Danio rerio: one gene and its partners. The main gene of each other region encodes a partner of the protein of the gene in region 5 in a complex. Links are inferred from orthologs where the notes say so. Each region holds a gene or a part of one and is shown on either strand. Other genes may lie near its edges. The genes, in order: mks1, tmem17, tmem216, ahi1, cep290, tmem107l and cc2d2a.

Region 1 (3,500 bases), on a different chromosome or scaffold from region 5:
GCAAATAGACTAGTAGTGCAAATACTTCAAAACCATCTTATTTTAGCATTATTTATATAGTGTTAAGGCAGCAGTGGCACAGTGGGTAGCACAATCCCCTCACAGCAAGAAGGAAGAATGCTTCCCAGTGATGGGTTGCAGCTGGAAGGGCATCCACTGTGTAAAACACCATCAAGTTGGCGGTTCAATCCACTGAGGTGACCCCAGATTAAAAAAGGGACTAAGCCGAAAAGAAAATGAATGAATAAATGAATATATAGTGTTGTAGTATTACAACAAGTCTCTTTCACTTGCATTGGCTTCCTCTTCTTTGTCATGTACAGTATAAAATTCCTCTATTAACTTACAGAGATCTTCACAACCTGGCACCCGATTACCTCTCTGATCTTCTACACTGGTACACTCCTCGGCGCTCACAAACATCTTCTACAGCTGAAATGTTATCATTTCCAAATTTTAAGATGAAGTAATTCGGAGGCAGAGCTTTTTTGCTGCATAGCACCACAGTTATGGAATTCCCTGTCGTTAGATATTCGTCATGTGGACTCTACTTCCAATTTTAAATCACAGGTAAAAGCTTTTCTGTTCAGGATTGCTTTTAATGATTTTCTGGTTTAATATTATGTTTATTATTCTTCTGTCTTGTATTTTATGATGTGCTTGTGACATATTGTAAGGTGGTGTCTTTGAGTGCTTTGAAAGGCGCCTATTAATAAAAGGTATTATTATTATTATTAATTATTGTTTTCAATTATTTTAAAATGTTCAGCTTAAAACAATTAAATCTTTTATAAAAATAATAAAAATACAATATAAAATTATTCTATATTTTCAGTTATTTAAGGTAATTAATTATTTGCTGTTATGAGTTTATTTTTATATGTCTACTTAGCTCTTTTTTTCAGTTTTAGCATCTCATAACTTCATAAAATGAAATTGAAAATATTGACCAGAACCTAAAGTCATAATATTACATGCATTTTGACAATCAATGCATATTATAGTACTTACATCTCGGTACATGCGCTGCTCTCTGTCTTTCTCCTCTGCTTGAATGTCTGATGAGGCGTTCTCCAGATACAACCTCCACACTTCCCTCTTCTCCCCCTCTGTTTCCAGCCTGGTGTAAATGATAGTCAGAAACATCTGTAATCACGGTGAATTCAAACATGTACTTCTCCAGAAAAGTGAATAGAAAGAGAACAGAGGTGGGTCTTGCCTGTAGGCTCCTCTGTTGTTGTTAAAGTCTGGTTTTATTGAGATTACTCCATTGCCGTCCGCTTTTATTGTGCATAAAACATATTCATTCTCTTTCAGGCCCAACCTGTAAAATAGTTAAGTGAGTTGATTGTGTTGTTCTATAGAAAATACACCAATCTATGACTATAACTCACATGCAAGTGTCTGTTGTGTGACATATACAGGGTATGTGGACAAAAGTCTTACAGCTGAAGAGGAAAATGGTGACTTTAAACTACACAGTGTGAAAGCAAAGCCCTTAAGTAGTGTAATAAGTGGCCCCTCAGGTCAACTAAATTCTAGAAAATTGTATGATATGGCTTCTTTAAATGGCAAGCATTGTCTCACATACTTTCCTGTAGGTCCAAGATCAGCCATGATGTACATGGTCTGCACTGGCGTGTTGATGATGTGACTGTTCTTCACAAACTCCTCTGAAGGTTCCCATGTGATTAAACGGGACTTGGGAACATTCGACTCTCTATATAACAAACAAAATAATAATAAATAAATAAAAATTAAATAATAATAATGCCGGAGTAATTGGTGTTTCATTCCACTGTGGTTAGCTCTGAAAAATCAGGGGCTAAGCCAAAGGAAAATGAATAAATGAATGATAATATTAATAATTAAATCAAAAAATTATTTGTGTACCAGTAAACCTCTAAAATGTCCAAAATGTGATCAACTCTTTACAGAAAACAAATTGGTTTTTTTATACTTACGCGGGACGCCTCTCTTGTCTCCTGTGTCTTACATTGGCCATGCGTTCTGCTAGGAAAGTAGGTGTAGGCTGAGCTGGAATCACCAGACTCTGAGCTTGCTGCCAAAAAAAAATGCAACTTTAGATAATTGTACAAACAGATGTAGCCAAGATTGATGTAGCTATGGTCAATCTAACCACACTGCTCAAAATCATGTCCAAGTCTTATTTTACCAAAATAGTTTCATAATTGTTTTGTTAATAAGAAACTTGAGAACTTTTGCTATGAAAATAATTATTATTTTATTTTATATTATATTTTCGGTTTTAATGTATATCAAAAGTATTTATTCAACTTCATTTCAGAGTCTCATGTTATCTTATATCTACATAGTAGGTATGTGGCTTAGGTAGGTTAAAAAATTATGCAGTAAGTTTTATATGCTCATTTATTAGCCCATAAAACACCCCTAGAATCAGAAAGTCCTAACTGACAATATTTGGAAATGTCAAAAATATTAATGCTTTTATGACTTCAGGCTGGACTACTGTAATGCACTGTTTGCTAGCTGCCCAGCATCCTCTATTAACAAACTTCAGCTAGTACAAAATGCAGCTGTCAGAGTTCTTACCAGGTCTAGAAAATATGATCATATCACCCCAATTTTATCGTCCATACACTGGGTGCCTGTTACTGTAGGTTTCGTATTGAATTCAAAATATTGCTTCTTACATATAAAGCTTTAAATAATCTAGCTCCTGTTAATCTAACCAACCTTCTGTCTCGCTACAATCCAACTTGCTCTTTAAGATCTTAAAACTCAGGGCTTCTGGTAGTACCTAGAATAGCAAAGTTGAGTAAAGGTGGTCGAGCTTTCTCCGTTATGGCTCCTAAACTCTGGAATAGCCTTCCTGATAATGTCAGAGGCTCAGACAAACTCTCACAGTTCAAAACTAGATTAAAGATCTATCTGTTTAGTAAAGCATACACTCAGTGCATTACTTAGCGATTTTCAAAAGGTTTCTGCATCTTGTTTATATACACTATAAACAGCAGCTACGTTATTATTTTCTTTATTTCTCTATTTCCACCTAGGGATACTCTTCCCAAGGCCCTCAGACTATCCAGAGTCACTGATCCGATCCAAGAACAGAGACGAGATGATCCCAAGGTTTCCATACCCTGGACCAGGCCGTATCCTGAGCTGCTTCTGTAGTGGTCATGGAGAGCATGAGACTGATTCTTGTGACGCTTCAGGGACGGACGAGTCTTCGCTGAGGCTCATCGTCTAGCCTCTGCACAAGACGTTTATCCAGCAGAGAAATTAAAATGGTCATGCCCAAATGAGTCTGATTTCTCTCAAGGTTTTTTTTCTTCACTTTTTTTCCCCTCTCCGCTATCACCACTAACTTGCATGGTTTGGAATTGGTAGAGCTACACTTCGATGGATTTGCTCTACAGTGTTTGGACCCTCAATAGTGATTATTAAACCACACTGAATGGAGCTAAACTGAACTGAACTTAAACACTACAAACTGAACTACACTGTTCCAATTT
Region 2 (4,061 bases), about 12 Mb from region 5:
TCACAGGCTACAGCAAATCATTTTATTAAAACCATGTCAACAGTAGGCCTATAAATAGTAAAAAAAAATGCAATATTAATATTCTAAAAGTTAATATAAATTCATGGTGTATAATATTAAATTAAACGTGTAATATTTATTTTTCCATTGAAGATGAGGCAGAAGCAGGTTCAAAAAATGAGGGAGACCACCGAGCATGAGCTAAATCACACAGGTACAGGTAAGACTGTTAATCTGGAAGGGATATGCTAGAGTGTCATACAAAGATAGATGGACATTTAAATAATTTAAATATTGTAAATGCTTTGTTATTCATTCTAAGATGAAACTCCCTCCGAGTCAACTCAGCAAAGTAAAGGTGATGGAGACAGAAAATGTTCAGATTGTCCATCCAACAGTAAATAGTTTCTGTTATTATCCGCAATGTGTAAATGTGAATCACATACATGTAAGATGAGCTTATCAAGATCTTTCAGGACAAAAAAAGTTTTGTTTTTAAAGGTACAGGTAAATATAAAAATGTAAAATGGTAAATAGTTCTGAAATTATTACAGAGTGTACTGTTTTTTCTTTTAATTGTACTTTTACAACAACTAGAAAATTTGTATAAGCAAGAACCCACCCACTTAGTGCCCCTGCCCCTCAAAATGTCTGTGCACGGCCCTGAATTGGTGGTTCATTCTGCTGTGGTGACCCCGGATTAATAAAGGGACTAAACCGAAAAGAAAATGAATGAATGAACCTTGGGTTGCAAAAAAAATATATCTTTTCATATTGTTTCTCAAAAGTGAAGAACCCAAAAAGAACCTTCTTTAAAATAAAGCTCTAAATTCTAATAGAAACCCTGGATCTCAAGACTGAATAAACTGAACATTGAGTAGTGGGCAGGGTTTTATTTTAGTTCTCATACTTGACGTCATCAGAGAAGGACCCCCACACCAGAGCAGAATCAAATAGGAGGTTTTTGATTAAAGATTACCTACAATAAAAATGATCAGCGACTTTACTTAATTGTTCACCTTAACACTACCAATGTCCTCTAGCAAAATAAACATTGTACATTTTTTTACTTCATGCTGACTTAAAGTGATAGTTTAAGCCAGGAATATTAATATTATTCTTTATACACATTGCAGGATAAAACTCAGCATAATGTATCTTATTTCGCCATCATACAAAGCAAGCAAACCTGTTAAGTGCAGCTGAGCAGTGTGTGTGAGTGAGAGTGAAAAACATCCCCCGGTGGTCACAGCTGGACCATCACAACCGCTCAAGAAGATCCGCCTTCGTTGCTACCATAGACTGGTTGCTACGGACACACGTCTGCTTCTCCCAACATGGACCTGCCTGAACCCATCAGGCGACGGCTTGGAGATTTCTCCAGAACCGTGTTTGTGGACCAAAGCCGTACACAACCCTCTTTCGAAGAGCACGCAAATTTTCTAGACCAAAGTAAGTGTGTTTGAGCTTCCATTTGATCTGCTACGTGAACGTTAGCTGTAGGGCTAATTCATCTGGTTAGCCGAGTTGTACGATTTCATGTAGCTTTTGCTAGTAAACATATTTTTTTCTGACGTCATATGCAGATATAATAATGCTTTATGGTAGCATTAATCTTAAAAGGAAGTTGATAACATTTGGCGTTATTCCTGTCTGGGACCTACGAAACTACGTTGCGTTACCAAAAAGCATAATAAATGGTTCGTTTGAATCGGATCTTCTTAATGGACCTTTTCATAAAACGTGATTAGTCAAAAAAACTACTTAAAGTAAGGCAACTAGATGATTTAATAGGTTGACGGAATCGAAATATTTTGGATATCTTTAACCAAGTTTAGTTAGGTAAAACAGCCAAGTGAACAAAGTTACTCATTTAAAACGAACTGTTCAAAAGAACCGATTCGCCAAATGTTATTTTACTCCATCCTATACAGGCTCCGAACACTGATTTATGTATTATTATTATACATATTATATATCTGTGGTTCCGAATCAGGTTATTTAGGATGCCCAAGATTAGTAAAAATGAACTTTATTCAAAGCTAATTTGTCATTTTAATTTTATGCACTATTATTTCTCAGATAAGGATGTAGTATCGAGTCTCCCTCTTCAGATGTCACTCTACTTTAACATGTGGTTCTTTCCTTTCTGGTGGATCAGTGAGGTTGTGATGCTTGACCTAAAGGTGATTCTCGTCTTTGTCATTTTTAACATTTCAATATGATCTTATGGCTGTTTAATCATATTACTGTTGTTAGATATTACAGCTAATAATCATTGTGCTTTTTCTTCTAGTACTCAGCCCTTGCAGATTATTACAAGTTCATCCTGATCACAATTCTCATTGTAATGACCCTGATTGAGGCTATTAGGCTGTATTTGGGCAATGCTGGAAATCTGCAAGAAAAGGTCAATCTTAATTTAATGTAATATCATGTAATATCCTATAATTGGTCCCATTATGCATCTGTTGTTTTTCAGTAGGTTCCAGAATTGGCTGGATTTTGGCTTCTGACTTTTCTACTTCAGTTTCCTCTGATTTTGTTCCAGCTCTTCAATGAGGCTGTTCTTGTTCAACCACTAGAGAGAGGAGTTCATATAATACTGGCCTTATTTATCTTTGCTGAGGTATCTATCTGTCTATCTTACAACTATTTTAAGTGACTATGTAGAATTTTTAACTCCTCATTGTTCAGAATTTGAAGGGATTTCAGTTGTGTACCAACAGAACAGTGTTTTATAAAACACTCAAGACACTTTGACAAAAAGCCATTATTTTGTGCAAAACACAGTGATTAGAGTTTAAGAACAGCAATGATATTGGTTGTAACATAAAGATTACAACTTTAATTTCCAAAGCCTACAACTGCTTTTGTCTCGATTGATTTTACTACATCTTCAGTACAGATTTTCACTCAGGAGGGAAGCACGAAAGCCATATTTTTATGCAGATTTGAATGAAACACTCCACTTCAGGAGGAACAGGCTCAACTTATAAGAGTTAAACAGAAAAGATTTGCCATTTTTTAATCCTTTTAGATGATCACTGGGTCTGGTGAAAACCCTTTTAGCTTCGCATAAATCATTAAATTAGATTAGACCATTAGCATCTTGCTCCAAAAATACAAATAATAACTGGAGATAATTTTTCTATTTAGAGCTTGACACTTTTCTAGTCACATTGTATACTAATGCTGTTCACACCAGACGTGGAAGGAGCGTCAAGCGCAAGTGATATGTTGATATGGCTAAGAACTATACTCTCATTTTGGTGTAATAATCAAGGGACTAGCTGCCATACCAAGGCTGCAGCAGGGACAATGTTAATATGTAGCACTGTTATCTAGATGGGAAATATTTTTTAGAATAAGAGTATAGTTCCTAGTACATAATGTAACTATAGAAGAGTGTGCGTGTATGTATGTATGTATGTATATATATATATATATATATATATATATATATATATATATATATATATATATGTGTATATATATATATATATATATATATATATATATATATATATATATATATATATATTTATATATAAATATAAATTATCTTGTGTAACTTATATAACTTTAAGTTTTTGTGCAAGAGGCTAATGGTCTAATCTGATTCAATGATTTATGCTAAGCTAAGCTAAAAGTGCTCACACCAGACCTGAAGATCAACAGAATTGAATAAAAAATGCTAAAACTCAACTGTTTAAACTTATTTTTTTTTAAATGTTGAGCGTTTCATTTAAGGCTATGATCTTAAACTTTTTTGATGAGGATGATCTGTTTAAATTTAATTTTGAATACATTGCCTGGTCTTTCTTTTTTGTCACTTCTCCGATTTCTTCTTTTAGCATTTAGACGCAGTACTTACAACCTGGGGTGCTTTTCCGAAAACAATTGTTAGCAAACCAAGGTCACAAGTTCCATCGTTACAAAGATAGTTTGTTGATTTGGCGGTTCCCAAATCCGTCGTTCCATTGAACATTCGCAAACTGCATCACAAACTTGTAAGCTTACAACTAAACCTCTAGGGCTGTAGTTAGATGCATTGCTCC
Region 3 (4,252 bases), on a different chromosome or scaffold from region 5:
TGCTGTATTGTTTGTAGTTTAGGCTGACAGCATACAAATACATTATAACCGATTAATTTACCAGACGATATAACAAATAACAACCTGCAAAAGTTAGACAGTAATATACAAATGAAGCACACAAACAAAAATATCGTATCTATCGGTCTACCTAACTGACAACATAACAAATGGCATTCATTATAAACAGGCTACTAAAGAAGATAACAGAATACACAAACTAGAAAAATATGGATTCAAAATGCTAAAGTTAACAAGTCGTCTATACAGAAATCTCCATTTCCATCCAACATTCAGTACAATCAACAGTCTAACCGAAGAAAGACGTGGAAAAACTAATATACTACTCTGAAACGATATGACAGAAAGAAATACTAAAATATTTAGTGTATTCAACCAAAATCTCGTCGAAACAACAAAATATAACCTAAAATTATACTTTAAGAGAGATCTTTACATACCGCTAATGTCAGCGATGGCCAGACACTTAATGAAGGTCACACTAGTTTCTCAACGTCATTTTTCGAACACATTCTTTTTTAGAACGCCACTGACTATGGTAACCACAGCAACGCCACCGCACCGCCATCTTATGAGTATTTAAATAATAGCAACTGTGATTCTCTGTTTGACTAAATTTCGTATGTTCATATTCTATTTTGCATGCATATAAGTCTTATTTTTCAGGCATATAGTAAATTTATCTGTATCTAACCTGTATGTCTAAAAATAAAATATAGTTCAGTTTAAGCCACCAGAGAGCACTGTAGCTTCGGTCCGTGAACGGAGGAGCTGCTATTTTATCGGATAGAAAATACAATAACGCTTATATTTAATAACTGATTATAATTGTATGGTGTGAAAAAAAACCTCCAGTTACCTAGAAGAAAGCTCAAACGTGTAATGTGTATTTTATGTTATAAAAAGATATGTAAATGTATACCTTTATCAAAATACTCTCTTTTTTTACAGTTTTATAACAGTTAACAAAAACAGTTTATAAAAAGTAAAGAATCACACCTTATTATTATAGTACAAATTCTATACAATAATGTAGAATAAAAAATACATTATATCTGAATAGAGGAATTAATAATAGCGAATATGAAATAGTAGTGTGCTATGTATAATAATCATAACTATGAATAACACTAATACAACATTGCGTATACTATTGGCTAAAAGGAACGTATAAAAGGTTATTTATTTCAGTGGCAGTGACTGTTTTGCTGCTTAGTGTGCATATGAATATACAGATTATTATATTTATATGAACCGTAAGCTGTGACCGTTACCATTTTGTTTTGACCTTGTGGACTATAGGTGGAAAATGTGTGTGCTTACTACAGAATGTGTTCATTTCTCGCACTTGTATGTTTTTGATCACTGACCCGTTTGCTTGATTTGATTGGATGGCCGATGTTTGTCTCCGCCTACAGTATGCGTGTCCATGGCAATCTAACATGGCTGCCCACGGTAAGCAAAACGGAAATGTTTTGGTTTTGATAGTAAGTTTATTGGTTCACCTTAGTTGCGCATATTTAACTTAAATAAGTGGGCGACTTTAATAAACCAGACCCAGACGTTTTTGAAGAAACAAGCGGACTAATAGAGCAGAATGTGCACTTTTGTTTAGGGTGGAAAGTAGGCATCACGTAGCCGATTTTAGCCATTTAAAGCACGCCTGTCTTTTTTCCAACAAATAGATGTTATTTTTTTTATTATATTCTTGCATAATGATTAACTGCCTGTTGATCTTACTTCAATGCTTAATCTGTGTGTGTTACTTAACCGCGTGTTCACTAAATGTGTTCTCGCACTTGTCAGTATTGTTTTGTACAAATTGTGCTTGTGGGGCAGCTATTGTCTTCAACACTTTAAATGCAACCTATTTATTTTCATCTTTAAAAAGTCGTGTTTTTGAAAAAACATAGGTCTAATGAGAATTTTTATAGATAACCATATTACTTTGCTAAAAATATTGATAACCACTATTACTAGTTAATTGGGGCAGAATACCCGATTAATTTCAACACTGTGTCTTAAAATGAGCTGTATGAAAATCTTAAAAAGGCTGTTAGTTATAGTGGTAGGATGTGTTTACTTTGCAAAAAATCTAATAATATAAAACTCTATCCATTTAATTTTGTAATATACTTTAAAAAAAGCACCTGACATTACTGTCTTATTAACACTACCAACGATGCTGCTCAGGTATTCTCTGTAGATACAACCAACACATTTTAATGAAATTTAAATCTTTCCTTTGTTCTTTAGTCATTAATGTTGTTCACAAATGCTTCATGTCATTTTAAAGGGATAGTTCACCCAAAAATCAAAGTTCTGTCGTGAGTTGTCCTGGTTTCAAATCTATATGAGTTTTTTTTCCTGTTAAACAGAAAAGTAGATCAGTTAAAGAAAGGTCGAAACCTGTAACCATTGATTTCTGTAGTTTTTTTTTTCCCCGATGGAAGTCAGTGGTTACAGGTTTTCAGGTCTTTTCATATTTTTATGTTTAACAGAAGAAAAATAAAATCTTGTAAAAGTTTTGAACCACTTAAGAGTAAGTAAATAGTGATTACATTTTTTTGGGGGGGATGAACTATGCCTTTAAAAGTACACTGTCCTGTAACTTTGTACGTTTATTTCATTTTCAGACTCATCTTTATTTTATACTAGAGTTTGTAATGTAAGAAAACTTTTAACAAGTTGGCCTGGATTATGGCTTGAAACATTTTAACAAAGACTTTTGAGGAAGAAAATGAGCCACTGACCCAAAACAGCATTGTATATGCATGCCATGTGCAATATAGGAAGCTGGTTTGTGAACTCTGATAGGCAAACTGACTGTAATATTGAATGAATGCATACAAATTCACAAACCAGCACATTCTCACCTGTGAAAGATTTATGCTATCTATATTTACACTATCTTTGGTTATAAAAATGTCAGTGGCAGTGCCCCCCTTTTCTTCTACAAGTAGAGACTGCACAATATTGTGGCATCTTGAAAAACTGCATTACCCATTCCAAGATGGCAGATGCATAAATGAGACTAAAGGACTTTTACTTTTAGACCTATGTTATTTTCACTAATTCAGTATTTATTTTCACTTTTGCAGGAAGACAACCTGTTGTATCTTTTCAAGCTGTTTTTTTTTCTTATTATTTACTCGTTTGTCTTTGTTTATTCTGTTGATATTGCTTCTTAACAAAGTACCTCAGTTGTCGTCCACACCACTGCAGATCCTGTTTCATTTGAACGGCTGGTATTTTGCTGCATTTTTCGTTGCTGAGATTCTTATGTTCATTTACAAAGGTGATGTATGGCCTCTTGAAATATTCTGAAAATTTGTGATTTTATTTGTCAAGTAATCACTGTTTGCTCTGACATTTGTAGGAGTGATACTCCCTTACCCACAAGATAATCTGATATTGGATGTTGTCCTGCTGCTCCTCTTCTCTGGCCTTGAAACACTCAGACTTTTCTATGGTCAGTGCCTTATAAAGTTGTTTAATCTGCTTTAGTTTGTAGAATCGTTCAGTTAGTGCACTGAAATTATGCTCAGTCAGAACTTCAGAAGACCTTGTGAAGCAGTGTTTGACGATGCTCAAAATTTAGCAATAAATAAAGTGTGCATTAGTCGGGCCTGCTTCTTCAGCAGTGCTAGTTCTAGAAGTGTTTTTTTCTTCCCCATAGGACTTTATAAAAATGTTTTTTGAAAAGTGCTACAGATTTTTGAGCTGATCATTCCGTCAATTAATTAACTTACTCAAACGTGTTTTGTTACAGTTTTTATGTTATCTTCTTTGGGATTATTGAATAATATGTAAATGTCTAGACGATTTGAGATACTATATAAAACTATAAACACAATAACTTGTCTATAGAGAACAGGAATTTGACGTAACTGTGTAATGCATTCTGGGTGTTTAGCACAAGAAAGCCTGATTCCCATTGATCTCTACTGATTTTTTGTATCATATATATACACTCATCGGCAATAAACAGGAAGTGTTTGTACTACAGGTAATGAAGAAAATCATATATGCAGATGTTTTCTTGCTGCAGCTTGGGTAACTTTTAAGATTGTTACTTTTACTTGAGTATAAATTTTGTATACTCTACCCACCTCTGAAAGTAATACTGGTAATAATTTTCAACATCTTTTAGTGGATGCATTATATGAGATGCCTACCGCAGCTTAGTTTTAGGGATAGTAGAATAAATCAATGCACTGTGAATCAAGAA
Region 4 (3,500 bases), on a different chromosome or scaffold from region 5:
GTTATAATAATAGTAATAATAATAATAATAAAATATTAATATTAATATTATTAAAACAGCTCAGGGATGAGCTTTTTTGAATTAAGGGTTGGAAATGAATGCTTGTCTTGTTTTTTGATCCGATTAATCGAAAAAATTATTGATAGATTACTCGTTATTAAAATAATTGTTAATTGCAGACCTAATGTACAGTTGAAGTCAAAATGATTAGCCCTCTTGTCAAATGTTTTTTCTTCTTCAAATATTTTCCAAATGATGTTTAACAGAGCAAGGAATGTTTCACAGTATTTCCTATAATATTTTTTCTTCTAGAGAAAGTTTTACTTGTTTTATTTTGGCTAGAATAAAAACAGTTTTAATGTTTTATGGTCAATATTATTAGCAATTATTATTTCAATTGTCTACTGAACAAACCATTAATATATAATAATTTGCCTAATTACCCTAAACTGCCTAATTACCGAGACCCGGAAGGGACGTAATGTATATTTTTGTAAGTTTTTGCGTTCCCTTGCAAAGATGTTTTGCGTTCCCTCAAAAAACTTGTTCTACAAACACTTCTTGTTCGCTTTATACATGTCAAGCCTCCCATTTTTGCCAGGATTCTCCCGTATTTTACCATTCTGTCCCACTATTATCCTATCATTAAGTATTTTCCCAATTTTCTCCCATATTTTTACTCTTGAAAGCACGCTGAAATTAATAAAAAAAGGTCTGCATTCACTTTCTGTCCATTAAAGCTGTGCGTCGATCATTGCTCTTCATTTACAACCTCTGAATCAGCGAATGCATGTATATGTGCCTACTGACAGATGCAGCTCCGTATGATAAACGGATAAACGCAGAGGGAACGCAAAAACTTAAAAAATATATTTTTCTATCATTCCATTTTTTTCATGTCTCCATAGCTAATTAACCTAGTCAAGCCTTTAAATTGCATTTTAAGCTAAACATTAGTATCTTGAAAAAGAGCTAGTAAAGTATTATTTACTGTCATTATGCAAAGATAAGATAAATCGATTATTAGAAATGAGTTATTAAAACTGTTATGTTTAGAAATGTGTTGAAAAATCTTTCTGTTAAACAGGAACTTTGGAAAAAATATACAGGGAGCTAATAATTCTGGAGGGCTAATAATTCTGACTATAACTGTATAAGTGTATGTATATCGTCATCTTGGAATTATAAGGTTCTATCTGCGTTCTGAATGATTTTGAGATATTGAGCTTCAAAGTCTTTGCATTCCAAAGCAAACAGTCTGTGTGTAACATTTGTTTTTTGTTTTTTATAAAAAGTCTTAAAATGTAAACAACTTATAAAAACATCCCAAATTATAAATAGGTTGTCATTTAATAAGAATATGTCAATAACTTAATTTTAACAAAAATGTCAGATAGAACCTTATAATTCTAAGATGACGATATGCTTCCTTTATGCACTTTTTTGCACATGTGATTTGTGGGTTTGAATGCGATGGTTGATTCTGGTAGTGCCTGTTGAGGAGGAGCAGACAGAAGAAAAACCAGCCTTTGATGACAGTTTGGTCCTGGGAGTTTATATCCACAGAACAGACAAGCTGAAGACCGACCTGATGGTGTCTCACCCCATGGTCAAAGTTCATGTGGTTGATGAGGTCACTGGACAGTATGTCAAGAAGGAGGACAGGTTTGGACTTTTCTTTCTTCGTTTTTTCACTAAAACCAAAACCTGCTAGAAGGCATTTGGATCTTAGGTTTCAAACCCGTATCGTGTTTCCTTCTGCTTACAGCCATCGTCATGTTTCATCCTTCTATGAGCAAGAAAACATTGAGCACATCCTGCCCATTATAACTCAACCATTTGACTTCAAGAAACACAAAACAACAGTTCCAGAGTGGGAGGAACAGATCATCTTCAATGAGCGATTCGGATATTTTCTACAAGATGACGACGAGAGTCCACGTGTGATGCTGCTTTTTGAGGTTTGTTAAAAGTTTAGGATTACATTTGCATTGTCAAAGCAAAGAATTGAATAAGGATCGCAGTTTACATGCTGTTACAGATTCTGGATTTCATCAGTATGGAGGAGGCTCGAACAAACGTCTCAGTTGATCGACATGAAAGAGGTTTCAGAAAGATTGCTTGGGCTTTTTTGAAGGTACCAGACTTTACTGTAGTTCCTGTTATTTTTTTTATATTTAATAATTTCATGCTTGTTTATTTGATTATTAGCTCCATAGCTGTTTTAATTTTAATTTTATGTAGGTTAATTCAACCTCTCCCTATTTAAACACACCTGAATCAACTCATCATAACATAAGAAGAGACTTCAAAACCTGAAGTTAATGGGTCAGATAAGGAAGACATCCAAAATATGTACCAGCACGAGTGGTCTTTATTGAACCTAAAAGAGCACATGTCACTCCACTACTCATCCGTTTGCACTGACTGCCAGTCGCATCAAATTCAAAGCTCTGATGTTTGCTTACAAAGCGATTTCTGGCTGCGCCCCTTCTTATCTGCTCTCACTTCTGCAGATTTATGTGCCCTCCAGAAACTTGTGTTCTGTGAATGAATGTCGCCTCGTGGTTCCATCTCAAAGAGGGAAGAAATCACTTTCCCGAACTCTCGCATTCAATCTGCCCAGTTGGTGGAATGAACTCCCTAACTGCATCAGAACGGCAGAGTCACTCACTGTCTTCAAAAAACAACTTAAAAGTCAACTATTTAGTCTCCACTTTCCTTACTAATCTGCAATTCCCTCTCTGACCTCTCCACTAACTACATAAAAAAAAAATACTACTGTTTTGTTTCTTACACTTTCTTTGCATACCTGAAACTTGCCTACAGCACTTACTTATTGTTGCTTTTATGGTTGTGTAAATTGCTTCCTTGTCCTTATTCGTAAGTCGCTTTGGATAAAAGCATCTGCTAACCCTGCTGAAAAATCCAGCTTAAACCAGCCTAGGCTGGTTGGCTGATTTTAGCCGGTTGACCAGGCTGGTTTTAGAGGGGTTTTGGCCATTTCCAGGCTGGTCTCCAGCTATTTCCAGCCTGGTCTTGGCTGGTCAGGCTGGAAAATGACCAGCCAAATCCAGCTAAAACCAGCTTGACCAGCCTGGTTTAAGCTGGACATAGCTGGTTTTGTCTGGACTCCCAGCTTGGCTAGGGTGGTCAAGCTGGTTTTAGCTGGTCATCTCCTAGCCTGACCAGCTAAGAGCAGGCTGGAAACCAGCCTGGAAGTGGCCAAAACCCCTCTAAAACCAGGCTGGTCAACCAGCTAAAACCAGCCAACCAGCCTAGGCTGGTTTAAGCTGGATTTTTCAGCAGGGAAATGACTAAATGTAAATGTACTGTTGATGTGTCTCTAGGAACAGGGTTGGGAAACACTGGGTTAACTGTATCCTTTTTCAGATGGTCATTGTGTTCTTCAAATGTTTCTTCTAGCTTGTAGGAACCAATGGGGTGTTGAACATTGACACCAAACTGCGTCTGCAGCTTTACTGCCCTCCTCCACGAGC
Region 5 (4,266 bases):
GCCTATTAATATGACTTCAAAACAACATCAGACCTATTTAACTGTGACTGTGAACCATGTTGTACTTTGATTGTCATTAGATGTTAAATTAATTTTAAAATTTAGAGTTTGCGAAAAATGATTTTGTGAAATTAAATTACTAAGGAGAGAGTAAGCACCGGAGCACCCGGAGGAAACCCACACCAACACGGGGAGAACATGCAACTCCACACAGAAATGCCAACTAGCCCAGCTGGGACTCGAACCAGCGACCTTCTTGCTGTGAAGCAACAGTGTTCAATTATATTATTTATGTTTAATACATTTTCACTATTTAAGGTTCCTGTAATTTTGATGTGGTTTTATCATTGTGATTGGTTTTGTTTATTTTACATAAAGCTGAAAGAAAATGTTAGAACCTCTAAATGAAAACTAGAATTGATACAGGTAAATGTATTTTTTGTTAAATTATCAAAATGACTACAATTTACTTGAAGCATACTAATGAAGTAACTAATTGAAACATAAAGAAATACTATAACAGTGTTTAGATAATACTAAAACAATAATGAGAAGTAAATGTACTTTGTGAATGTTTTAGACCAGATCGGACATATAAATAAATAAACATACATACAAATACATAATCGTCAATCTTTCAATATTTCATTCATTTCGATGACCTTTTCCATCCCTGGAAAACCTTTTAAAAGCCTCAGAAATTGTATATAACCTTTCTAAAACAAGTTTATATTAGAATACTGCATTACGTCCTTAAGCAGCTACGAAATGCAGCAATAAAAGAGCAGATTAATCGCAGTAATAATGGGATAATCTGTGTGGACTGAGCGGAGCAGAGAGGGCGCAGCCTCACAGATCATATGCTATCAGTTAGCATTTGTTTTACATTCAGATCAATCGATTAATTAACACATTACAGTCAGAAAATAAAACATCGACACAACAACCAAGCGTAAAAAATAAGCTACATTTTAGTGAAAATAAAAAGACAACTGGACACATAAAAGACTGCTGGGTTTAAAGAACAAACATAACTTCAGCTGTGCTTTTAGCATTCACTGGTTTCAGTCATTTCACAATATCTTCTCTGTCAGCAGTCATCGCTAGGATGTAATTAAAGCAACTCACCTTGTCATGTCTGGGGAAAAGCTAAATGAAAAGAGAATATGTTTGTTTATGTTGACTAAAGCAGCAAGTTCGATCCACGGCATTGAATTAACAGAGTCCAACAACTGCTTCCGGGTCAAAATGCCTGGCACAACAAAAGTAGGGAATTACAGAGTAGCCGTTCGCGGATTTTGTGTTTCTGTAATGCCATTTCAAATAACGTATAGACACAGATAGATATATGGTTTTAGTTGTGATTCCCTTATAATGAATGGACCGCGTATAAAGGAAATATTTTTTTTAAAAAGAATCCAAACAGAGACAATTTTACGACGTTACGTTTTACGACTGTTTTCCTTGTTGCCTAGCAGCAGCGGGAGCGCAAGAGGAACCCAAGATGGCTTAATAAGGTCTGAAAACGTTATTTTCAGTGTCTTTAGTTTCACAAATATGTGTAAAAGTTGACATTAAGACGTGTTCAAATTTAGGTTTATGCTAACGAACAAAACCAACCCAAATACGAGCAATTGCATGCATTTCTAATTATCGACATTGTGAGAACTAACTAACGTTATATGTCTGGCTAATATATTTAGCATGGCGTTTTGTCGTGTATTTATTATTCTGCTATGACTCTTTTGTGCTGTGACGGTATATGGTGTTGTTTTCAATGAGAAGTCCGTGTGAAGAAATAAACTACATTCGTTTTGCATGTTGTCTGTAGGTAGAAAAAGACTGGCAATCTCAGCATCAGTTGTTCAGTTCAGCTCTGGGGGACATTTGCAGCTGACCTGAAGAATGCCTGCGGCCGCAGACTGGCGGCTCCTCATGGGAATGGATCCAGAGGATCTGGGGGATGAGGATGAGAAGATCTGTGATTTGATTTTAATGGTAATCTGACACGTTTGAGGCACACTAATTGTGAGGAGTGTAGCTAGATGTTACAACAATCTGCAACTACAATACAACAATCTGGAGTTGCAATTATTAAAGAAACACTTATATATATATATATATATATATATATATATATATATATATATATATATATATATATATATATATATTTTTTTTTTTTTTTTTTTTTTTTTTTATATTTTTTTTTTAATGATCACACACACAATATGTGATCATTAAAAAATGTATTTTAGACTCAACATTCTTGAATAGAATTATGGTTGTGTAAATTAGTGTTTCTGAAACACATTCCTGTGGGACCACCATCATTGCATGTTTTGGGTGTCACACTCATAACAGATAGAGGTAAAGTTGGTTTTATATTTGGATATTGAGACATTCTCATTAGTAATATAATTTAGATAACTTCTTTGCAAATTTTTAATAGAGAAATCTTATTAGCAGCAAATAACTATCAAAGTACAGCATTGTTCACAGTGAATTAGATAGTGTTAATGTTGATTAGGAGTCATACGAATATTCAAAGTAACATGGTAAACAATTTAGGGACTTCTAAATGAACGAATGTGCGAAAAGAAAACCAACTTTACCTCTATCCATTACAGGCCTTTCAGTCTACTAATGAGCTAATGATTTGAATTTGGTGTGTTTGGTTAAGAAAACATGGAAAATGTGCAAGGCTGGTGGTCCTCTTGGAACGTGGTTGAGAAACACTGGTGTATATAACTCATTCTGATATCACCCAATATGTTTTTAGTACAGTGGAGGGTAAGATAAACATAATTAGTAAGGACAAATTACATATTTTTTCTATTTTGTTAAACCGTTGTTTACTGAATAAATTGCATCTGTTAATCAGTTATAACTGCAATTTATTTTTCACAAAATATAAATATGTTGTAAACTATACTGGGAGCTTTATTACTTACACATTTCTATCATTTTAAACGCTACAATTAACAACAGGACTCAGACTGTGCAAAATAAATTAAATTATATGCAATAGTTAAAATGGCACTTTAGACAGTTTTTTCATTTATACATATTTATTTACACATACTATATATATTGGATATATACTTGATCAAAAGAGATTTGGTGTATGTTTTTATATTTATATATTTGTTTGTGTTTTCTGGTTTTATTTTTTTAGTAAATAAATGATAAAATTATATTTAACTACTAGTAATACAAACTATTTAGTGTGAATATGTGAAGTTACAAACTTAATGCTCAGTTATTGTGTGTGTTTGTGGTTGCATGTTCAAAAAAATATTTATTGTTTATTCTTTCAAGCCAAACCACAGAGCATCTCCAGCCTCAGGTCTTGCTTTCAGGCTAACATCCGCTTATCGGAATGTTTAAGGAAGAAAACATTCTTCTTGCAAATTTGTCTGATAATAAATTTCTTTTGCATACAGGTCAAACCACGGGACCTAAAAGCAGATGATTCTGAGAAAATGATTCAACTCTTTAGGATCTCACAAACCCTTCTGAGGGTAGGGCTGATTCATCATTTACGCAATGTTTGCAGCACTGCGTACAGTAGTTATGTAGTAGTTAACATTTACCAGATTTCTTTTAATTATGTTGTATGGTCATTGAATTATCATGAGCATTTGTTGTTATGAATCAGTTAATGTTATTATTTATGTTTGGGTTTTTAGATGAAACTGGATGAAATTAAATGTGCCTATGAGGTTGTAGACAGCGCAGGGGCAGAACAAGCAAGAATTGGTATGTATAATCATTGCTAGGTTTTAAGCATCTCCAGAACAAATCACAGCATGTGAAAACGCAGCATGGAAAACGCAAAAAAAAAAAGAAAGTAGTGATTTCCAAATTTGCTTTGACTTGTATTTCATTGCAGACAATATAAACACAAAATATTTCATGTTTTGTCAGGTCAATTTCAATTTCATTTAAATATGCATCCCTTCCTGTCATTCATACCTGCAACACATTCCAAAAAAGTTGTGACAGGAGCAGTTTAGGGATGATAATCTGGTAAATTGGTTAAATATTGATGTGATTTGAAACAGGTAGTGTCAACAGGTGATTGTAATTATGATCTGGTACAAAAACAGCATCCAAGAAAGGTCTAGTCCTTTAGGAGCAAAGATGGGCGGGGGATCGCCACTTTGAAACAAACACATAAGAAAATTATTAAAATGTTTAAAAACAAGGTCCTCAAAGAAAGATAGGAAGACATTTGAAAATTTCACCTTCAGTGCAAAACAT
Region 6 (4,084 bases), on a different chromosome or scaffold from region 5:
ATTTATTAAAAATATATCACACCCTGCAAATAAAATGGCAAATGTTGTCACCACAATGTAAAAAAAAAAGTCTTCCTAAAACTGTCTATTCTCAATTTCTTAACTCTAAGGTTAATATTTTACTGCCTTCCAGAACAGCAAATGCCCTTGATAGCAAACCACTGAGTTAGTATTTATTTATTATTTACTAGACCAACGACGTCTGGCTGTAGGCTACAGTAAAAACTAATGATTCATTTATTTGTTGATTTGTGAATGCTGAAAACCTGCAACCATTGACATCCATATAGGAAAAACAAATGCTATGGAAGTTACAGGTTTCCAACTTTCTTTAAAGTATTGCCTTTATCGCTTAACAGAAGAAAGAAACTCACAAAGATTTACAACCACTTGAATAAACAGCAAACACGTTTTTATATTTGGGTGAGCTATCCTTTTAACTTATAGGGCTCTTATTACACACGTTTTATGCACTTACTATAATACCAATAAATTATGCATAATCACATGCAAAAACCCATAACCATAGTAAGTACTCCATATCGTTAATTAATGCCACTCAGTACTTTATGCTATAGATACACTGTAAAAATGAGACCGTAAAACAAAAAACAACTTAGTTTGTTTAAATGCATTTCATTTCGAGATTAGCACTGTCGCTTCACAGCAAGAAGGTTGCTGGTTCGAGTCCCGGCTGACATTTCTGCAGATGCTTTTTTCCCTGTGTTTGCTTGGGTTTCCTCCGGGTACTCCGGTTTCCCCCACAGTCCAAGGACATGTGCTATAGGTGAATTGAATAAACTAAATTGGCCATAGTATATGAGTTTGAATGAGTGTGTATGGATTTTCCCAGTGCTGGGTTGCAGCTGGAAGGGCATCCGCTGTGTAAAACATATGCTGGATAAGTTGGCAGTTCATTCCGCTGTGTCGACCACTGATAAATAAAGAGACTAAGCTGAAGGAAAATGAATGACTGAATAAAAGGCTTGTTTAAGACACCTCGAACACCTTGATAGTGCTCCCTATTGACCACAATAATGAAGTCTTTGAAATAAATTTTTTCCAATTGTCTTACTACTTGTCTGCGCTGCCATGTTCCAGTTCACCATTTTCAAGTTATTTCACCTTTAGTACCTGCTCTCAGCCGAAGGAAAATGAATGAATGAACATTTTGAGACATTGTAAAACCAAGTTGAGGACCAGTCAGAAAGCGACTCCTTCCAGCAGGTGACAGCATTGAGCTACTTGTTGGTCTGTTTTGACCATAACCCATTCGCCAAATAGAAGAAGAGTGTTGTCGTAGCAACCCGAAGCTTATATCGAGCGATAACTGTCCTCAAGCTTGATAAACTTATACGCATAGTAGCCTTATATACAGTGCTATATCTACTTTACTGCTCACCATTTGAAAAATCAGGTTTTAACAACTAACGCAAAGCTGGTACGTATACCATTTTGATATACAACCTCACGTTTTGTGAAGATGAACACGTTAAACCTTTAACTGTTAGTCATCCACTTGCACAGTTCAATCTAAGTTATTATGTCTTTCTTCTCTGTCTAGTGTTCAATGTCGGTGGTCAGCAGTCTGGTGCCTGCCCGTTTCCTCACTCTCATCGCGCACCTTGTAATAGTGATAATCATTTTCTGGTCTCGGGTAAGAAGTGTTCTTGTGTGTGTAATTGTTATTTTTATATCACACAACATCACTGCAGCCAGCTGTGTGTTTAAATGTGGAATGACCTACAGGAGTACAGTGTCCGAGCCTGTCTACCACTCGACTACACTAATGAAGAGTACACAGCAGAGGACACACGGTTGGGAAACACACTTTCTCTGTTCTGTATTGCTTCACAGTGGCTAAATGATAATATAATTATTTCGGTCATGTAGTGAGACTGAATAGTATTTTTTGATTCAACTTTATTGTCATTATACATGTACAAGGCAACAAAATGCAGTTGGGGTATACCTAGGAATGCGATAGCATCAAGTGCATGATATATGCACAGTGCTCAGCAAATGAGTACACCCCTTTGAAACAAAACAGATTTATTAAACAGATATATTTATTCAAATAATATTTTAGTCATCAAACATATTTAGAAATTGAAAGATATTACAATTACATTCAAGCAAAATAATCCAAAAAAGAAAAGAAATTACAACCTGCAAGATTTCAACTAAAATAGTCTTTTTTTTTTTCATTCCGCAATACAGAATGTATTTTAATTGTTAATTAAATGTACCTTTTAATTTATGAAACAAAATACTTTAAAATCTTTTGATGGCTTTTCTTGTTTGACCCATTTACAGCATATTATTGTTTGACTGATAGTAAATTGTACATTATTTATATGTAGATGTGAATAATGTTATGGAGTCAGATATAGTAAGTCCTGTTCATGACGCTGTCCTAACCATTGTTTTTGGAATACAGGCTTGTGGTGGCATTATCCGTGACTCTTGGCCTGTTAGCCATCGAGTTGGTTGGGTTTCTCTGTGGAATCTCTATGTTCAACAACAACCAAGCTCTTCTGTGTATCCTTACCAGTAGCACATCACCACTATAGGTTATATATATACTGTAGGTGTTGATGCATATAAATTGTGTATTATTTTCTTATATTTTCATGGATCGGAGTCAAATCTTCAACTTATGATTAACGCAAACAGCTCCCATATGTGTGTCTAGTACTAGTTTCTTACACATCTCATCCAAAGTCTTCTGTTTTGTTCAGATTTTTGACAGTAAATTACCTGAAGTCATGGGTCGTAAAAAATTATATGGAGCTGTAATGTGGTCAAGACCTACCTGGTATATAAAGTCAATCTAGGGCCATATATACAGTTGAAGTCAGAATTATTAGCCCTTTTGAATTATTACCCCCCTGTTTATTTTTTCCCCAATTTCTTTTAACGGAAAGTAGATTTTTTTCAACACATTTCTGAACATAATAGTTTTAATAACTTATTTCTAATAACTGATTTATTTTAGCTTTGCCATAATGACAGTAAATAATATTTGACTAGATATTTTTTAAGACACTTCTATACAGCTTAAAGTGACATTTAAAGGCTTAACTAGGTTAACTGGTTTAACTAGGCAGGATAGGGTAATTAGGCAAGTTATTGTATAACCATGGTTTGTTCTGTAGACTATCGAAACAATATATAGCTTAAAGAGCAATAATTTTGACCTTAAAATGGTGTTTAAAAAAAAAAATGCTTTTATCCTAACCGAAATAAAACAAATAAGACTTTCTCCAGAAGAAAAAACCCTTTTGGAAAAATAATAATTCAAAGGGGGGCTAATAATTCGGACTTCAACTGTACGTGCAAAATAAAATAAAACTTTGCAAACAACAAATAAAGTATTGAGCAAAAAATAAATAAATGTAAATGAAAAAAATAAAAAATACATTTTGCTAACAAAAATAAAGAACTGCAAAGGGGAAAATTGAGAAATAAAAATGAAATTTAAACAAAAAAGGAACTGCAAATAAACATCAAGCAGTAAAAAAACAAAACAAAAAGATTTGCAATAATCAAAAAAAAACTATATATATTTGCAAAACATTTTTATAGCATTGCTTTTACAAAACCTGCCCGGTCAGTTGCAATTGTCATTTTAATTAGATTTTAGTCAACTGTGAGTTTGTGATGCTGTTTTCACTTTGTACTTCACGTTTCTGCGCCTTTCACTTTGTGGCCCTGATTTGACAAGGGGACTGAGTCAAGGGAACTTAGAGGTTTACCTAAGGCCTGCCGTAAACGCCCAAGTTCCCTTGACTCCACCCCTTTGTCAAATCAAAATGAGCATTGCAGTTGACTGGATGGGTTAGGTCAAGGCTAAAAATGTTTTGCAAATATTTATATATTTTTTTTTTCAGTTCTTTTTTTGTTTGCAAATGTAATTTTTATTTTTCAAAAATAAATTTTCCTTTGAATTTTTAAATTTTTGTTAGCAAAAACTATTTTTATTTCTGAAAAACAAGTTTTTGCTTGGGCGAGGCAGTGGCGCAGTAGGTAGTGCTGTCGCCTCACAGCAAGAAGGTCGCTGGGTCGCTGGTTCGAACCTCGG
Region 7 (3,500 bases), on a different chromosome or scaffold from region 5:
ATACAGCTTAAAGTGTCATTTAAAAGCTTAACTAAGTTAATTAGGTTAACTAGGCAGGTTAGGGGAATTAGGGAAATCATTGTATATTGATGGTTTGTTCTGTAGATCATCAAGGAAAAATTGTGTTTAAAAAATTAAAAACTGCTTTTATTCTAGCCAAAATAAAACAAATAAGACTTTCTCCAGAAGAAAAAATATTATCTGACATACTGTGAAAATTTCCTGCTCTGTTAAACATCATTTGAAAAATATTCAAAAAAGAAGAAAGAAATTTGAAGGGGCGAATAATTCTGAATTCAACTGTATACATTTCTTCTAATGAATGTGAAGTCAAGTTTCAGTGTTTAAAACGAGGTCTGATCTGCTCACCTCCTCTAGATGGATCCAGATCTGCGGGCTGATGAGGACTCCTCTTTTGCTGCCAGGCTGAAGTTTCGTGATGCGGCCAGACGTGCGGTCAAAGACAAGCAGGTGAGAAGCTCCCTAAAGGTCTTGTTATATATGAAGAGGTATAAATGCTCCATGTTCATGATTGCCTTTAAGGCCGTACTCACACTAGGTACATTTGCCTCGAACCAGGCCAAAGCACGCTTGTCCCCCCTCCCGTCTCTTTCGACGGCCCGCACTCACACCACAATCGGGCCTCGGCACGCTTACGTCATCGCTGCTGCGCTGTTCAGTGAGAAGCGCTCTCTCACTCACTCAGCAGCACAGTGGAGATTTCTCTGGTTATATCGTTTCAGTCGGTTTGATATGCAGTGACATGCAGTCAAATATTTCGCCAAACAGTCCTTAGGGATGCGGTGACACGCAGTCAGATATTTCGCCGAACAGATCCGCCACTTTTGGCACTCATAAACAATCATAAAGCCCTCGTGCTGCACGAAAATGGAGGTTTGCTGAAGGTGCAGCTGTCGTGCAGTGAGGGGTTTGTGTATTTAATAAGCTACGGCAGTTTGCGTTCACTGAACAGTAAGAATTAATAATAAATCCATATAAAAACAGCCCCTTAAAAGTCACGTCTCACTTTCAATTTCGGGCTTTGGTGCGTTTTGCACTCACACACAAGCGTACCGTGCCAAAGTCCAAGCGAACCACGCTCAGGCCCACCGCTTCCAACCGGGTCAGGGCCGGCCAAGTGAACCGTGCTTGAGCCCGATTCAGCCCACTCACACTTCTCAAACGATTCGGGAAACGGGCCTGGGCACGGTACGGATGGCATAGTGTGAGTAGTTCACCCAAAAATGAAAATGAAATAAAGTTATGAAATGGACAACATTTCTGATGCTCTCGGCTGCTCTGAACACTTTCTCCGTGCCACTTTAAATCCCAATATGCACTGGGATTCTATATGAATGAGCTGAAAACGCTCGCTGAAATGTGCTAGCGAGATTACGTCGTTTCTCTTCTGCGTCAGATAGAGGTTCGGCATTCAGCAGCTTCTGGAAGACAGTGATTTAAATGTATAATTAAAAAAATATTTGAAATATTCCTGTTACAAAAACACAAATCCACGTTTATAATATGTGTGTTAAACACTTGGTGGCATATAGTTTGCTCCCAGATTGCTGAACTTTTGAAAGCTTAAAAAAAAAGTGCCACAACCAAACACTATTACACAGCATGAAGATCCAGAATAAATGGTAAAACTACTCTGACTGTGTTCATCTGACAGAAGAAAATCATATTCATCCAGGGGAGGAAATAATGTGGTGATTTTCATTGTTTGTGTGACCCCATCCTGAGATCCTGACACTGAAGTGTGTCTGTCTGCTGATCAGGCTGAGGCTGGTTTGCCGACCGCCGAAGAGGCCTACAACTTCTTCACCTTCAACTTTGACCCGGAGCCTGAACAGCAGCGCCAGAAGAAGAAAAGACGCTCCAGGAGAAGAGAGGCAGAGGAGGAAGAAGAGGGAGACTCAGAAGGAGAAGTAGAAGGGGAGGATGAAGAAGGAGAGGAAGTAGGAGAGCTGGAGAGACAGAATGAAGGAGAGGAAGAGTCTGAAGCCAGGGTGACTTATCGTGCTTATCGTGTTTTTAAGCCCCACACTGCAAAAAACTGCTTTTCTTACTTAGATTTTTTTGTCTTGTTTCTAGTCCAAATATCTAAAAGTTCTTAAATCAAGAAGCATTTTCTACACAAGCAAAACATATTGTCTTGTTTTAAGAAATAATACGCCAAAATGAAGTGAGTTTTTCCTTAAATCAAGCTAAATAATCTGCCAATAGGGTGAGCAAAAAAATCTTATCACAAATCACGAAAAACACGATTATTTTGCTCACCCCATTGGCAAATTGTTTTGCTTGAAAATTGATATCCACTCATTTTAATCTGATTCAATCCCTGTCTAGGATGAAGACGACCCATTAGTCGGAGACGAGGAGGATTTGTTCATCATTGACCAATCAGCACAGGACTTCCTGGAAGTGAGGCGAGCGGAGTATGTTGACTACAGCAGGCGACTGCAGAGGGAGCGAGACACGCTGTTTGTTCCCAGCATGAGGCCAGGTACAGAAACCATCACTAAAAGCTGCTCACATCATCTGTATTAGTCACGAAAGTACATGAAATCAAATCTAACCATATTAATGTTGTTAGCTAATATTGCTAGTTTTGTGGTGAACAAATCATCTGTGTTGGTCATTAAGAAAAAAATGGTTTGCCCTTGTAATATTTAATTGATCTTTAATTAGTCTGTAAATGCACTTCCTGTGTGTTTTCAGTTAAATTCCCAGATTATTCATGTCTGATATATTGGGGGTGTGGCTAGCATGCTTAACCACGCCCCCTCCACTTGGGTTTGTTTTAATCCAGGAGTGTAATACTTAGTTAAACCACTGGGTGTCGAACTTGCACCTTTAATAATGGTGATAAATTTGCTCGTTGTAATTGTGATGATATATATTTTCATACAGTTACATCTGTAATCTGTGTTTAATGTGTCACCCAGTGCCAGCCTCCAGTAAGCTGGCGGAGAACACACGTCCACGTTTCCTGGAGGAGGAGGGTCTGTATGTGGGGGAGAGGCCGCACGTCTGCCTGACCAATCTCAACATATTAGAGAATCGAATACTGAAGCAGGCCGAGGTAATTTAGGCCCTGTCCACACTGGTATTCTCAAATCACACTTTTATTCGACGCGGTTTTGTTCACTCGAAAACACAGTGTCAGGTGACTGAACCTGAAACATTCTGAAAACTCCAGCCAGGGTGTAGATTTCCTGAAACTCTGGGTAGAGGGTGGTCATGTGGATGCTACAACTAGAGTTTTTACCTCATAATGTTTTCTCCTTCACACCAAATCACTGACACTGCATCGTCTCAAAGTCATGTTGATCAGCTGGTCTGTCTATGAGCTGACATACGAGTGATCTGCTAATACAGTGGTTCCCAAACTTTTTTCATCAAATACCACCTCAGAAAAAATTGTCCCCCCAAGTACCACAGTATGACCAGTATTGAAATACAGTAGTGCAGTAGGCCTAATTAAGCAACTACAG

What was found.
Region 1: cep290 (region 5) and mks1 share a complex: the UniProt entries of both Homo sapiens proteins name them as parts of the tectonic-like complex. The link is inferred for Danio rerio from reciprocal best matches to the Homo sapiens genes CEP290 and MKS1.
Region 2: cep290 (region 5) and tmem17 share a complex: the UniProt entries of both Homo sapiens proteins name them as parts of the tectonic-like complex. The link is inferred for Danio rerio from reciprocal best matches to the Homo sapiens genes CEP290 and TMEM17.
Region 3: cep290 (region 5) and tmem216 share a complex: the UniProt entries of both Homo sapiens proteins name them as parts of the tectonic-like complex. The link is inferred for Danio rerio from reciprocal best matches to the Homo sapiens genes CEP290 and TMEM216.
Region 4: cep290 (region 5) and ahi1 share a complex: the UniProt entries of both Homo sapiens proteins name them as parts of the tectonic-like complex. The link is inferred for Danio rerio from reciprocal best matches to the Homo sapiens genes CEP290 and AHI1.
Region 6: cep290 (region 5) and tmem107l share a complex: the UniProt entries of both Homo sapiens proteins name them as parts of the tectonic-like complex. The link is inferred for Danio rerio from reciprocal best matches to the Homo sapiens genes CEP290 and TMEM107.
Region 7: cep290 (region 5) and cc2d2a share a complex: the UniProt entries of both Homo sapiens proteins name them as parts of the tectonic-like complex. The link is inferred for Danio rerio from reciprocal best matches to the Homo sapiens genes CEP290 and CC2D2A.

Annotation. Positions count from the first base shown.
Region 1 is NC_133180.1:61,439,270-61,442,769, forward strand, and holds part of mks1 (tectonic-like complex member MKS1), read right to left. Parts: intron 2,063-3,500; coding exon 1,965-2,062; intron 1,721-1,964; coding exon 1,592-1,720; intron 1,325-1,591; coding exon 1,220-1,324; intron 1,121-1,219; coding exon 1,012-1,120; intron 1-1,011. UniProt on the Homo sapiens protein: Component of the tectonic-like complex, a complex localized at the transition zone of primary cilia and acting as a barrier that prevents diffusion of transmembrane proteins between the cilia and plasma membranes.
Region 2 is NC_133200.1:30,968,122-30,972,182, forward strand, and holds the start of tmem17 (transmembrane protein 17B), read left to right. Parts: upstream 1-1,261; 5' UTR 1,262-1,337; coding exon 1,338-1,452; intron 1,453-2,082; coding exon 2,083-2,186; intron 2,187-2,296; coding exon 2,297-2,410; intron 2,411-2,485; coding exon 2,486-2,629; intron 2,630-4,061. Other genes in the region: PKc_like domain-containing protein, read right to left, coding at 1,190-1,236. UniProt on the Homo sapiens protein: Transmembrane component of the tectonic-like complex, a complex localized at the transition zone of primary cilia and acting as a barrier that prevents diffusion of transmembrane proteins between the cilia and plasma membranes.
Region 3 is NC_133189.1:29,311,898-29,316,149, reverse strand, and holds the start of tmem216 (transmembrane protein 216), read left to right. Parts: upstream 1-1,452; 5' UTR 1,453-1,463; coding exon 1,464-1,476; coding exon of another isoform or gene 1,477-1,493; intron 1,494-3,122; coding exon 3,123-3,136; intron 3,137-3,225; coding exon 3,226-3,319; intron 3,320-3,400; coding exon 3,401-3,493; intron 3,494-4,252. UniProt on the Homo sapiens protein: Part of the tectonic-like complex which is required for tissue-specific ciliogenesis and may regulate ciliary membrane composition.
Region 4 is NC_133192.1:9,401,718-9,405,217, reverse strand, and holds part of ahi1 (jouberin), read left to right. Parts: intron 1-1,490; coding exon 1,491-1,665; intron 1,666-1,768; coding exon 1,769-1,961; intron 1,962-2,041; coding exon 2,042-2,137; intron 2,138-3,426; coding exon 3,427-3,500. UniProt on the Homo sapiens protein: Involved in vesicle trafficking and required for ciliogenesis, formation of primary non-motile cilium, and recruitment of RAB8A to the basal body of primary cilium.
Region 5 is NC_133200.1:18,973,537-18,977,802, reverse strand, and holds the start of cep290 (centrosomal protein of 290 kDa), read left to right. Parts: upstream 1-1,466; 5' UTR 1,467-1,517; intron 1,518-1,831; 5' UTR 1,832-1,905; coding exon 1,906-1,998; intron 1,999-3,446; coding exon 3,447-3,524; intron 3,525-3,692; coding exon 3,693-3,762; intron 3,763-4,266. UniProt on the Homo sapiens protein: Involved in early and late steps in cilia formation. Its association with CCP110 is required for inhibition of primary cilia formation by CCP110.
Region 6 is NC_133198.1:31,419,244-31,423,327, reverse strand, and holds the start of tmem107l (transmembrane protein 107 like), read left to right. Parts: upstream 1-1,284; 5' UTR 1,285-1,441; intron 1,442-1,564; 5' UTR 1,565-1,570; coding exon 1,571-1,657; intron 1,658-1,749; coding exon 1,750-1,817; intron 1,818-2,440; coding exon 2,441-2,541; intron 2,542-4,084. UniProt on the Homo sapiens protein: Plays a role in cilia formation and embryonic patterning. Requires for normal Sonic hedgehog (Shh) signaling in the neural tube and acts in combination with GLI2 and GLI3 to pattern ventral and intermediate neuronal cell types.
Region 7 is NC_133198.1:2,308,778-2,312,277, forward strand, and holds part of cc2d2a (coiled-coil and C2 domain-containing protein 2A), read left to right. Parts: intron 1-378; coding exon 379-471; intron 472-1,781; coding exon 1,782-2,012; intron 2,013-2,352; coding exon 2,353-2,509; intron 2,510-2,951; coding exon 2,952-3,088; intron 3,089-3,500. UniProt on the Homo sapiens protein: Component of the tectonic-like complex, a complex localized at the transition zone of primary cilia and acting as a barrier that prevents diffusion of transmembrane proteins between the cilia and plasma membranes.